Linked DNA regions of Drosophila melanogaster. Changing the gene in region 1 together with any one later gene gives a genetic interaction. Each region holds a gene or a part of one and is shown in the gene's direction. Other genes may lie near its edges. The genes, in order: pll, wek and mad2.

What was found.
Region 2: of pll (region 1) and wek, changing one enhances a phenotype caused by changing the other (phenotypic enhancement), as found in Drosophila melanogaster (one study listed by BioGRID).
Region 3: of pll (region 1) and mad2, changing one suppresses a phenotype caused by changing the other (phenotypic suppression), as found in Drosophila melanogaster (one study listed by BioGRID).

What each region holds. Positions count from the first base shown.
Region 1 is NT_033777.3:27,250,502-27,254,746, reverse strand, and holds pll (pelle), read left to right. Parts: upstream 1-1,564; 5' UTR 1,565-1,789; coding exon 1,790-2,109; intron 2,110-2,167; coding exon 2,168-2,833; intron 2,834-2,896; coding exon 2,897-3,416; 3' UTR 3,417-3,616; downstream 3,617-4,245. Other genes in the region: TfIIA-L (transcription factor IIA L), read right to left, coding at 19-219, 1,122-1,145; TTLL6B (tubulin tyrosine ligase-like 6B), read left to right, coding at 3,915-4,245. UniProt on the Drosophila melanogaster protein: Plays an essential role in the Tl receptor signaling pathway that establishes embryonic dorsoventral polarity; the signal directs import of dl into ventral and ventrolateral nuclei, thereby establishing dorsoventral polarity.
Region 2 is NT_033779.5:15,765,633-15,770,336, reverse strand, and holds wek (weckle), read left to right. Parts: upstream 1-1,987; 5' UTR 1,988-2,105; coding exon 2,106-2,231; intron 2,232-2,291; coding exon 2,292-3,197; intron 3,198-3,257; coding exon 3,258-3,604; intron 3,605-3,668; coding exon 3,669-3,702; 3' UTR 3,703-4,204; downstream 4,205-4,704. Other genes in the region: Ku80, read left to right, coding at 1-1,598; CG3793 (uncharacterized protein), read right to left, coding at 4,626-4,662. UniProt on the Drosophila melanogaster protein: Acts as an adapter to assemble/stabilize a Toll/wek/Myd88/tube complex; required for efficient recruitment of Myd88 to Toll. Dispensable for innate immune response; plays a minimal role, if any, in the immune defense against Gram-positive bacteria and fungi.
Region 3 is NT_037436.4:5,811,544-5,815,002, reverse strand, and holds mad2 (mad2), read left to right. Parts: upstream 1-1,909; 5' UTR 1,910-1,988; coding exon 1,989-2,061; intron 2,062-2,141; coding exon 2,142-2,288; intron 2,289-2,349; coding exon 2,350-2,753; 3' UTR 2,754-2,868; downstream 2,869-3,459. Other genes in the region: vn (vein), read left to right, coding at 137-188; kri (krishah), read right to left, coding at 2,928-2,938, 3,085-3,459.

The sequences.
Region 1 (4,245 bases):
GGGCTCCGTTTCGCTTACCTTTGGATTGTTGGCCACGATGGGTGGCGGATGGGAGCCATCGCCGGAGTCCGGGCTCAGCTCGACGGCCTTGCTAGCAAGCAACTTGTTGCGCCAGACCTGCTTCATCTCCTGCAGCACCTGTTCGTCGACGCCCTCGTCCAGGAACGCGTCCCGCACATTTGTGATGACGTCCTCGATCACGGCATGGTACACCTTCAGCTGCGGGCGAGAGGGGATGCGGTTAATTGTGTATAATTAAATTTGAAATGCACGACAAATCTGGGCTTGTGTTGACTTAAACACTCATTATATTATCGCGGCTCAACTTCACGCTATTAGGGCCTAAACAGTTGGGGGTAAAACAATAGGGATTGCGCAAAAAATCCACGAAGCAAGTAAAGGGCAAGACGCTATAGAAGTTGAAAATGTGGCGCACAGTATGTGGTGAGCCTTTTTGAGCTCCCATTAAAATTCAGACGCAGCTGTAATGTGAATATGCAAAACGCAAATAAAGTATGTAAATTATTTGTTTGCGAAGAATGTCGCAGTGCACATATGTACATAGATACCATGCATATGCTGGTATATATATATATGTACATTGTACATATATATACACCGGTATGCCAGTTGCTTGTTTTATTAATAGTTTGTTTTGCGTTATCAGCGGACGATAAGGAAGGAGGCCCCGACTTGTAGATAATAGCACAAGCTACGCAGCGTGTATTACTGCTAAATATAACCCCCCATGGGAGTTTGAAGTACTACGCGGAAAAGCCGAAAATCGGAAAATCCAGAGGGCAAGAAACATACAAAACTGCAAGGCAACGAACGCACTAACACAGCGACATCCAGACAGACACGCACTCGCATGCACACACATCCACACCCGAGAGGTTTGCAGTTTTGGTATCTCGGATTTCAGCAGTTGTAACTATCGTTTTGTAGTAACTACCATGACCACTGGGAAAGCTTTCACTTTCCCGCGTGGGCGGCGGAAGGAGGTGAAGCTGGAGGAAATGGAGAAACTCCTTGGTAGGATGCCTTCCATATGTCGAATGCAATGGAGCCACCGCCGCTGACACAATTACCGGATCTCGGGGATCCAGCCGCACACTCACCACCGATGTCTGGCATAGCGCCATTTGGACCTTTTTCTCCGCCAGCTTGAGGCTTTTCCGTTCGCTGGTGGGGCTAATTGACGTATTTGCTGAATTATAAATGGGCGAAGCGAAGAATTAGCGATAGCGATGCGTTCGTGACGGTGTCAGCAGTGTGGCCACCTGCGGGGCACTTGAAAACGACGCATGTCCGCCAAACTGCAAGGCTCATTTGGTCATACACTAATTGCCTTTGGTATTTTTTAAGATATTTTAGTATACAAAATACTGTGCAAATTACATAAAATATGTGGAGGTTATTTAAAATCTATTTAATATTTTCATACAGCAAATACCTTTTTAATAATTACTCTGCTTTCTTTTTACTTCTGAATTTTAAACAGTGGCTCCTAAGCATCTACCACTTTTTCGAGTGTATTATTTGCTAGACATTGGCAGCGTTGCCAGACTGCTTCGCTCTGTTAAGCTGCTTTATCACTTGTTGCGCCGCTGTTAACAAGTCATCCACAGGTTTTCATCGAATCGCGTTGGGAATTTACCCAAAAGCGATTTTCGTTTCGCTGCAACAGGTTACCAGCGCCGCCAACCCCTCATCCAACGGGCACTCTTGCATCCGGAGCCGCATGAATCAGTCGCAACCGGTTGAACCGCCCGCCCATAAGTGAAAGATGAGTGGCGTCCAGACCGCCGAAGCCGAGGCGCAGGCCCAAAACCAAGCGAATGGCAACAGGACCAGGTCGCGTTCCCACTTGGACAACACAATGGCCATCCGACTGCTGCCGTTGCCCGTGCGAGCCCAGCTATGTGCCCACTTGGATGCCCTAGACGTATGGCAACAGCTGGCCACGGCCGTAAAACTCTATCCCGACCAGGTGGAGCAGATAAGCAGCCAGAAGCAGCGTGGCCGCTCAGCCTCCAATGAGTTCCTCAACATTTGGGGCGGTCAGTACAATCACACGGTGCAAACATTGTTTGCTTTGTTCAAAAAGTGAGTCAGTTTGAGATAATAACCGCCGAGATCCCAGAAATGACTCCTCTTACTTTAGATTGAAGCTTCATAACGCCATGCGTCTGATCAAAGATTACGTTAGCGAGGATCTGCACAAGTACATACCGAGGAGCGTGCCCACCATCAGCGAGCTGCGCGCTGCTCCCGATTCCAGTGCCAAAGTAAACAACGGCCCGCCGTTTCCCTCCTCCTCGGGCGTCAGCAACTCAAACAACAATCGCACCAGCACAACGGCAACGGAGGAGATACCCAGCCTGGAGTCCCTGGGCAATATACACATTAGCACCGTACAGCGGGCAGCCGAATCCTTGCTGGAGATCGATTATGCGGAGCTAGAAAACGCCACGGACGGCTGGAGTCCGGATAATCGACTGGGACAGGGCGGATTCGGAGACGTGTACCGCGGCAAATGGAAGCAACTGGACGTGGCCATCAAGGTGATGAACTACCGCAGTCCCAACATCGACCAGAAAATGGTGGAGCTGCAGCAGAGCTACAACGAACTCAAGTATTTAAACAGCATCCGGCACGACAATATCCTGGCCCTCTACGGATACAGCATCAAAGGTGGTAAGCCGTGCCTCGTCTACCAGCTGATGAAGGGCGGCTCCCTGGAGGCTCGTTTACGAGCGCATAAGGCACAAAACCCACTACCAGCACTCACCTGGCAGCAGCGGTTTAGCATCAGCCTCGGCACGGCTAGGTGGGATTTATCGTTTCTTTAGTGCTATCAATCTTCTTTAACTTTTCATTTCGTTTCCAAAAGAGGCATCTACTTTCTGCACACGGCGCGAGGCACACCGCTGATTCATGGAGATATTAAGCCGGCCAACATCCTGCTGGACCAATGTCTGCAGCCAAAAATCGGAGACTTCGGTCTGGTGCGCGAGGGTCCCAAGTCCTTGGACGCTGTGGTGGAAGTGAATAAAGTTTTCGGCACTAAGATCTACCTGCCACCGGAGTTCCGCAACTTCAGACAACTCAGCACGGGCGTGGACGTCTACAGCTTCGGCATTGTGCTGTTGGAGGTGTTCACGGGTCGTCAGGTGACGGATCGCGTGCCGGAAAACGAGACGAAGAAGAATTTGCTGGACTACGTTAAGCAGCAGTGGCGGCAAAACCGGATGGAGCTGCTAGAGAAGCACTTAGCAGCACCGATGGGCAAGGAGCTGGACATGTGCATGTGCGCCATCGAGGCGGGCTTGCACTGTACTGCCCTGGATCCGCAGGATCGCCCATCCATGAACGCGGTGCTCAAGCGTTTCGAACCGTTTGTTACCGACTAGATGGGCCTTATTATGTTACCATTTTATTGACGAACTTGAAAAGCTCGAAGGACCATTTGTAAACCATTTCCACATTTTGTGATCAATCGCAATATATATTTTTAACTTTAACATTCCAACGAAAATTTCCCTAAAGACTTATTGTTATGCTTAAATTGTAAATGCTTACCCTATTGTTTATTAAATATTTTTGTACACTTAGTTGTTAGTGGTATGTTTGATGTTCGGAGAAACTAAATTTATGATATGCCCCAAATCGATGATTTAAAACTCAAACGACTCAAGCGACGTGGCCAGTGGAGCTACGTTTTGATTTTAGCGTCATTTCGGTTATAATTATTTTCATTTTCACAACACAATCATCGCAAAATAATATTGTTTTTATTCGTGACGCAGAATTCCGGCTCTAACCATTGACACGAATCAATTTTATAGATATAGCTTTTAGCACGTGAAAAATTTTCAATTTTTAATCAAGGACGACCAGCGGACGAGACAATGAATTTAAAAAATTCCAAGTTTTTCAAGAGGATTCAGGAGCTGCGCCACTTCTCCAAGGAGAAAATACGGAAGGATCGCGAAAAGAGGACCCACGTTGTTCGCGCCCTGGACATGGCTCTTAATGAGCAGCCGTGCTTGGACCGGGAATGGTTCAGTCCGGAGCAATCACCGCCACTGCAGCCCATGTCCCCACGCCGCCGGATGAAGAAGACCCGGTGCCTCAAGAGGAGGACAGCCGCCGACAAGCAAGTGGATGATAACTCCCCATATTACGGACCATCTTCTGGTGAAAACAGCCCAATGCCTGCTGAGGAAGCCAAGCTGCAGG
Region 2 (4,704 bases), on another chromosome or scaffold:
CTTCTCAGCCTCAGGCTATTTTCAACTTTTCGCGCAAATGCGGCCCCGATGAGCTGAATAACCAGAAGTACGCCCTCAGTCTCGTTCCTCGCTGCAATGCGACGTTGTGCAGCTTCAAGGAGGCACTGCATACCGTCTTCAAGGTGACCAACCGGCGACCCTGGGTGTGGAACGCAAAGCTGAACATCGGCAGCAAGATCTCCATTAGCCTGCAGGGCATAATCGCCATGAAGAACCAGACGCCCGTAAAGCTGGTAAAGGTCTGGGCGGAAAAGGATGAGATAGTGATACGGGAGACTCGTCATTATATCAAAGGCACTGAGATCACCCCGCTGCCGGAGAATCTGATAACCGGTTACATGCTGGGCGGCACTCCGGTGCCATACGACGAGGCCGTGCTAGAGCCAAAGGAACCACACCCACCTGGTCTCCACTTCTTTGGCTTTATCAAAAGAAATGCCGTGCCGGATGAGTACTTTTGTGGCGAGTCCTTGTACCTCCTGGTGCATCAGAAGCACAATCAATCTGCCGCCGTGAAGCTGGACGCTCTGGTGCGTGCTCTCGTTTCTTCGGATCGGGCCATACTGTGCTGGAAAATATATAGCACCAAGTTTAATAGACCGCAAATGGTTGTGCTACTGCCCCGCTTAGCAGACGATACCCATCCGGCTACTTTGTATATGCTGGAAGTTTCCTATACGTCTCAGCACCACTTCTGGGACTTTCCGGCACTGCGAACCACCAAGACGGAGTGCAGCGAGGAACAGCTGAATGCCATTGATCAGTTAATCGATAGCACCGATCTGGAGTGCACACTGCGGGACACGCAGCAGCCACGTCCGTGGGCGCAGAATGATCTGCTGCCGTTCGACGCACTTCCCAGCATCTTTGAGCAGAATGTCATGGACATCCTAGAGCGAAAAGTTATCTATGATAACGACAAGGAAGACAAAATGCTTAAGGACAAAAACTTCGCAGATGTATTCTGGCGAGTGCCAGATCCCTTGGAGGAGAAGTCAAAGAGAGCGGCAGCCATCGTAAAGAAGCTATTTCCATTGCGCTATAGTCGCGCCTGGCAGGAAAAGCTGTTGGCCAAGGAGCAGGCAGAGAATGGTGTGGCAGTCAAGTCGGAACCAGCGGAGAAGGAAATCCCGTTGCCATCAGACGGTGTGGGCTTAATTGATCCAATCTCTGATTTCAGGCGAGTCCTGGCTAGCGTTCACACAATCAGTAATGCCACTGAGCGAGATGCCCGCTTTCAGGCGCTGGCTGCCGATACCCGCGTGGTGATCATCACACTGCTGCAGCGCAGGAAACAGAACATCGGGCAACTGGGCGAGCTCATCACCCTGTACCGACAGAGCTGTATAGACTTCAACACCTTTTTGGAATACGACAAGTTCGCTGAGGAGCTGAAGAAGATCGCGCTGGCCAAGAATCGCAGCGAATTCTGGCAAGACGTTATGGTCGACAAGCAATTGGGCCCTTTGGTGCTTGGCGAGCCGACGCTGGACGACGAATTGGCTCTAAAAGCCTATTACACCATCGAGAATTGGGTGGAGAGTGGGGCGAACGATATGGAAGACGTTGAGATGTAGTTTATCATTCCATTTTGTTATATTAAGCAAATGTGCTAAAATTAGTTTTTGTTATACACAGTTTTTCTTATATGTAAGTCGAAAATAAATTATTATATTGTTTATATATATATACCAGAGTAAAAACTCGGTCGCATGTTTTAAAAACAACATTATATCCCTGGGAAACCACATCCAAATGATGATGATAATACATCTCTATGTTAATAAACATCGACACGCAGGAAGGAAAACGTTAGTAATACTTCTTATGATTGAGAAAAAAAAGTAAAATAAATACAATTTTCAATTCCAAATTTAAACTGAATACTTTTTGAAAATGGCGGCAACAACTTGTTGTTTTGCACTTATCGATATTTCCAAAAATCATCGGAGTGCGCATACCAATTAATCGATTCGGAATTCCGCTCCATACAGCTGATTTTAATCAGCGCTTTGGCAATAGAATTTAGTCAAAACCCGAGGGCATACTGTACCAAACTGTGGGGCTTCTGTTGAGGATTAGCCATGGGAGTTCCCACAAGCGATTGGATATACTGGTGTCGCCTGTGCGCCCGCGACGACGTTGTATACAAAGTGCGCGAGCGGGACGACGATCTGGTTAGGATTATCAGCAAATGCTTTGATGTGGAGGTATGTTATTCGTTTTCCCAGCCTACAGATAGCTTATACATTAGTTTTCCACACACGCAGATGACCCTCGAGGAACCGGAACTGGGCAGCATGTTGTGCGAGGAGTGCTACTCGGTGATTGGCCAGCTGATCACCTTCTCGGATAGCGTTTCCAAAGTACAAGCCATTTTTGAGCTTCTGCGACACTCGGAGCCGCAGGATAGCCAGGACTTGGACGCCCTGCGTCTGGAATACGGCCTTCCGCCGGCCTGCAAGCAGGACCTCGAGTTCCTGGACATAGACGATACGGAGGATAGGTGTTCCTTGGTAGAGGAGCTAACGATATCAGACCATTCCACATCTCCGTCACCCGATTTTGAAGCACAGACCGTGCGAACACGAGCTAATCTCAAACAGTGTAATTCCGATCCCAAAGTGCTAGCCTCACCTACTGCATCAATTCCTGAAGTTGAAACAAAACGAAGTCGCCGACAGCAGTTTGCGGCTAAGCGAAATTCCAAAGTGTACACTGCAACCGAGTCGGATGATGAGGAGGCCATTCTAGACGAAGACGAGGCCGTATCCCCGCCGCCTTTGAAGCGAAAAAGAGGCAGACCCAAGGGCTCAGGCAAACAGAAAAACGTGGACGACAGCGATAACGTAACTTCCCGCGAACCAGACGACAATGCTAAATCCAAACAAGATGACAAGACATCCGAATTGAGCATGTCACCCCATGGCTCCCAGAGTTCGAATTTCGTCGATTATCCCTGCAAAATCTGCAACGAAACCTTTATGTCCTTCATGGCTCTGCGCAGGCACAAGCACGACATGCACGGCGGTCCGAAGAAATACGTTTGCGATCACTGCGGAAAGGGTTTGAAGACCTTCACATCGCTGGTGGAGCACCAGCTGGTTCACACGGAAGAGAAGCCCTGTATATGCCCCGTCTGCAATGCTGGTTTTAAGAACAAAGCTAGGCTGAGAGTAAGTCATCGAATAATCTTGTGGACCAACTAAATCTTGAAATTTGTATACAATTTCCAGGTGCACAGTCAGACACATGGTGAGCCCAAGTTTGAGTGCAATGTCTGCGGCAAAAAGCTGCAGACACGGGCGATTCTTAACAAGCACAAGTATGTGCACACGGATGAGCGGCGCTTCAAGTGCGAGGTTTGTGGCAGCGGCTGTAAGAACTCCACGGCCTTGAAGATCCATCTCCTTGGACACACCGGCCTCAGACCCTACGTATGCAAGTACTGCGGAAAGGCGTTCGCCAGCAACACCAACTGTCGCTCCCACAAATGGAAAAAACATCCGGAACTGGCGTCCAAGGAGGATGAAACCGAATCTTCACGTGTTCCAGTGCCAACATTGGAAGAACTGAGAGCGATGTAAGCTATAGTCATGCATATTATTATTATTAGCTTACTATTGTACTAAATTTTTGGTTTGCAGAACTCGCGAGATGGCCAAGGCCAAACAGGATTAGACCATGTTGGTTGACAAAAATGTATAAATAGCAGTGCGCAGTAAAATTTTATCCCAGAGACATTTACATTTACACTTAATTAAACACACAACTGCCCTTTTTGCATTTAAATTGGTTTTTAATAAGTTTCAAAATAAATTCACTTTTTAAACGCACACTTAAATTGGGAAATGTGTTCACACATGAAAATGACATTGTATAAAAGATAATAATTGTTTGACTCACAATGTAGATTTAAAAATAACAATTGTAATTTGTGACACCAAATTATGCGTACACTTTGAAACACTCAATTGAAACTCCTGTGAGCGGTTGCAGCATATTTTAAAGATGAGCGCTATTCATAGAACTCCCACGCATGGTTCACTAGATTGCGACAAGTTGGTCTGTAGATAATTCCAAGGGCTTATTCACAATAAAATCAGTTTGAAATTATAACTCAGCAAATGTAAATGCTTCGTGCTAACACCAGATACATTGACACCTAATTAAACACACAACGGCCCTTTTTGCATTTAAGTTGGTTTTTTTTTTAATAATTTCAAAATACATTTACAATTTAAACGCACACTTAAATTGGGGAATGAATGAATGGCATATTGATCACCTATCAATATTTTGTGCCACAACTCGGTGATAAAATAGTAAATATTAAGCGATTAAATAATAAAAATGTAACAAGAGAAAAAAATATAAGGAACAACTAAATTAATACAAATTAGATCATTTGTGAGTGGGTCTCTGTGTAGGATAAATATCTAAACATGTTTTGATTTCGATGGTTTCTCTTTAATTACTTGCTGTTTAGGTTAACACGTTGAGAAGCAAAATATTTTGGCATGGCCTTCCTCCAAACCGAGCAGAGTCAATAAATAGTGCATCCAAGTAGGTTGGCTCTCTATCCCTTCCACCTTCACTCACTCCTAGTCAATGTTCAGCGAGGACATTAACTCTTCGACGCTGCATGGAAATAGAGGAAAGAAAAAATCATGTTGATTAAAC
Region 3 (3,459 bases), on another chromosome or scaffold:
TTTCATTTGAGAGCGCAATTTTATGCTTGTAGTTGCCCCTAATTGTGGAAATGGTGTTAGCCAGCTTTTAGTTAGCAGTAAATGAAGAACTGAAAGATTAATTTTTAATTTTATTTATAATTTAATCTCTTCACAGATATTTTGTTGCAATCTACGGCCAAATACATACCTTAAATAACGACTATTAATGCATAGAATTTTGTTTCATTATTTTTATGATTTTATAAACAAAACGAAAAACAAAAAAAAAATCGAACTCCCTGCACTCCAAAAACGTGGACAATTGTAATTTTTTACGTTTATTAAAAAATTAGAGAATTTGTTGCACCAGCTGACCATGCCCAAAAACCCATCACCGTTCTCAAAGTTTGCAACTACAAAGAATACATATCCGAAAACAGAAAACAGAAAACATTTCAAAATTCGTACAATTCCCCTCGCCTAGAGTTCCTTCTTCCCGAGCGAAAAGTTCCAGATCCAGACTGACTTTAGCTACGTTTGTTCTTGTGCACGGTGACAGAATATCTTAAATGTATAAATCGGATGTATGAAAGCTGAGCAGAATTTTAAATTATTTATTTTACGAAATATATCACATACATATAACATCTAAGATCGAAGTTTGCGGTTCAAAGTTCGAGAGCAAAGCATTACCGATTCGACCCTGACTTTGACATTGTTGCGCTTTTGTTGTTGTATCATAGACAATAATTTTAAAATGATAACAAAGGTTGACGTAGCCGAGAACTTTGTAATAAATCCTGTAAATAGCTCTCGTTTTAACTAACGATAAGTTTTGTGTACATTTCAACTAAGGTAATGCAAGCCCTTCTTTAACCGTAATTTATTGTATTTAATTACACCTAAATTAAACGTAATTATAGCTATAAGCTCACACACACACACACACACACACACGAACACCCCACACAGACACCATGGAGCTACTTAATTTCGAAATACTATTTTATTTGTCCTCGTTTTTTTTGGATTTGCGCAATTTCAACACCAAAATATGTAAAATGGCAAATTAGTTTTTATTTCTTCACAATGTGTATGTTGACATCAGTTTGTATGGCTAGGCGTAAAGCAAGAAAGTGCGTAGAGATTATTTTTAGTTATTTTAAGTGGCAAATTTTTTATATATTTAATTATTGAAAGATTTATACCAAAAATACCATGTAAAGTTTAATTTTAATTTAAAACAAAACATTAAACAAACAAAAACGAAAAAAAAACAACAAAAACAAACAAAACGATGCGTAAGAAAAAACTTAATTAAAAATTTGCAAATAATTCACATTTTACAAACATCGATTGCTTTTTGATTTGGTCTGATATTCTGTTCTTGTTCACTGTGGCTTCTTGTACTTCGTTTATGATTTGCTGCTCTGCTTTTGCTGATCTTTTCTGTCAAATCAGAGGGCAGAGTAATCAAGGCTCTGACGAACCGAGCTAGGTTTTGGATAGCATAGATTAACTGGGTCCTCTATTGTTCTGGCTATATCAAAGTCTTGTCTTATTTTAGTCTCTTGGCAGGAATACGATGAACCGGATGGAACCCATTAGGCCGAACCACGCGGAATTACTTTTGCGCTCAGAAATGGATCTCATGCTTAGATTTAGTTTACACAAGGATGGCCAATAAAATTCTGAATTTGTTGCAATCAATAATTGTGTTTTGATTTTATTGCGCAAATAAATTGATGAATTTAAATATGCCGCCCTTTGGGAATTGCTTGGCAGCACTGGTCGGAGTTAGCCATCCCTGGTTCCACCATCCCTGGTCGCATAGCCAATACACACACCAAATATAGAAATATACTGAATTTAGCGAGTACATTCACCGATATTTATCGATATATTGCAGACAAACGTATCGAATGTATATCGAGCTTCTGTCATCTCTGCTAGTCAACACCTTTCAAAAATAGCGGCAATTTAGCAAATTGTTAATTTCTCTCCCACTTAAATCGACTTAAATCAACATGTCAACTGCCCAGGCGACCAAAAACTGCATCACACTCAAGGGCTCCGCTCAGATTATTGTGGAATACCTGAGTGAGTAGCAAGCTACGTCACGAAAGCGTCTGTAAGTTCGCCTGCAATGGCGTCTCTGGTTCTTTTTTTTTCCTAAATAGAGTACGGCATCAATTCGATCCTCTTCCAACGCGGAATTTACCCAGCCGAAGACTTTAACAACACGCAGCAGTATGGGCTAACCATTCTAATGTCCAAGGATCCCAAGATCAAGACCTTTCTGCAGAACGTGCTCAGCCAAACTGAAGGTTAGTGGTCTTTTGGAAAAAATTCAAGTTTATGGTGACCATTATTTGTATTCACCTATAGAATGGCTCTCGAAGAACATGATCAACAAGATCTCGATGGTCATTACGAACGCCCACACCAAGGAGGTGCTCGAGTGCTGGGACTTTAATATGCAGGCCGAGTTGGGCGATGGCGATATCAGTGATCCCACCAAGGCAACAACCACCAAGGAGCTGAGTCGCATACAGAACGAGATTCGCGACGTTATGCGGCAGATCTCGGCCACCGTGAGCTATTTGCCACTGCTCGATTGCATCTGCACCTTCGACATAATGATTCACACGCTGCAGAACACCGAATTACCGGCCAAATGGGACGAAACGGGTGCCATTGTCATACAGAATCCGCAGGCCGTCCAGCTGCGCTCCTTTTCTACAGGACTGCACAAGGTGGACACCGTGGTCAACTACAAGATGAGCACTTAAAAGGCAGTACCGCCTCATCCTAATGTTTAAATATTTATTTCGTTTCTATATTTACAATAGTGCGTAACGAACGTAACGTATTTGAGAGTTGCATTAAAAGCCAGTTGTGAAAAGCTAACAGTTGCTAAGTAGTAGTTTGGTTGGCCGCAGGGGTCGTCTATTTGTCTGTGTGTCTCAAATGCAATCTGGAGGACGAAACAGAGTGAGAGAGGGTAGCATTTGTTAGTGGAGCGCAACGCAGGAAAGGGCGTTTGTCTGGGCGACAGCTACCTATCCTAAGCAGCGCTTAGTCGTCAAGTCTGCGAGATAGACCCAAGTATCTAGTCTGTACCGAAGTATTTCTGGCCAAAGTGATTAGGTGCCACGGGATGCAGCTCGGAGGTGAGGATCTTCAGCTTGGGGAAGGCATTCACTACGGTCCGAGCGGCAATGGGTGTGCAGAAGAGATTGGACAGGATGATGCAGCTCTCGGGTACGCCGTGTTCCCGCAGCACATTCACCGCCTGCAGCACAGTGTTGCCCGTGGACATGATGGGGTACATGAGTAGCACCTGCCTGCTGCCGATGTCATCGGGAAAGCGGGCATAAACCACGCGGGCCTCATGCGTATTGGCATCGGACTCGACCAGGATCTTTCCAATGCGAATGGAGCGACAGCAGTCACGCAGTCCCTGCTCCATGGCCTCTCCCGATCGGATGATGGACA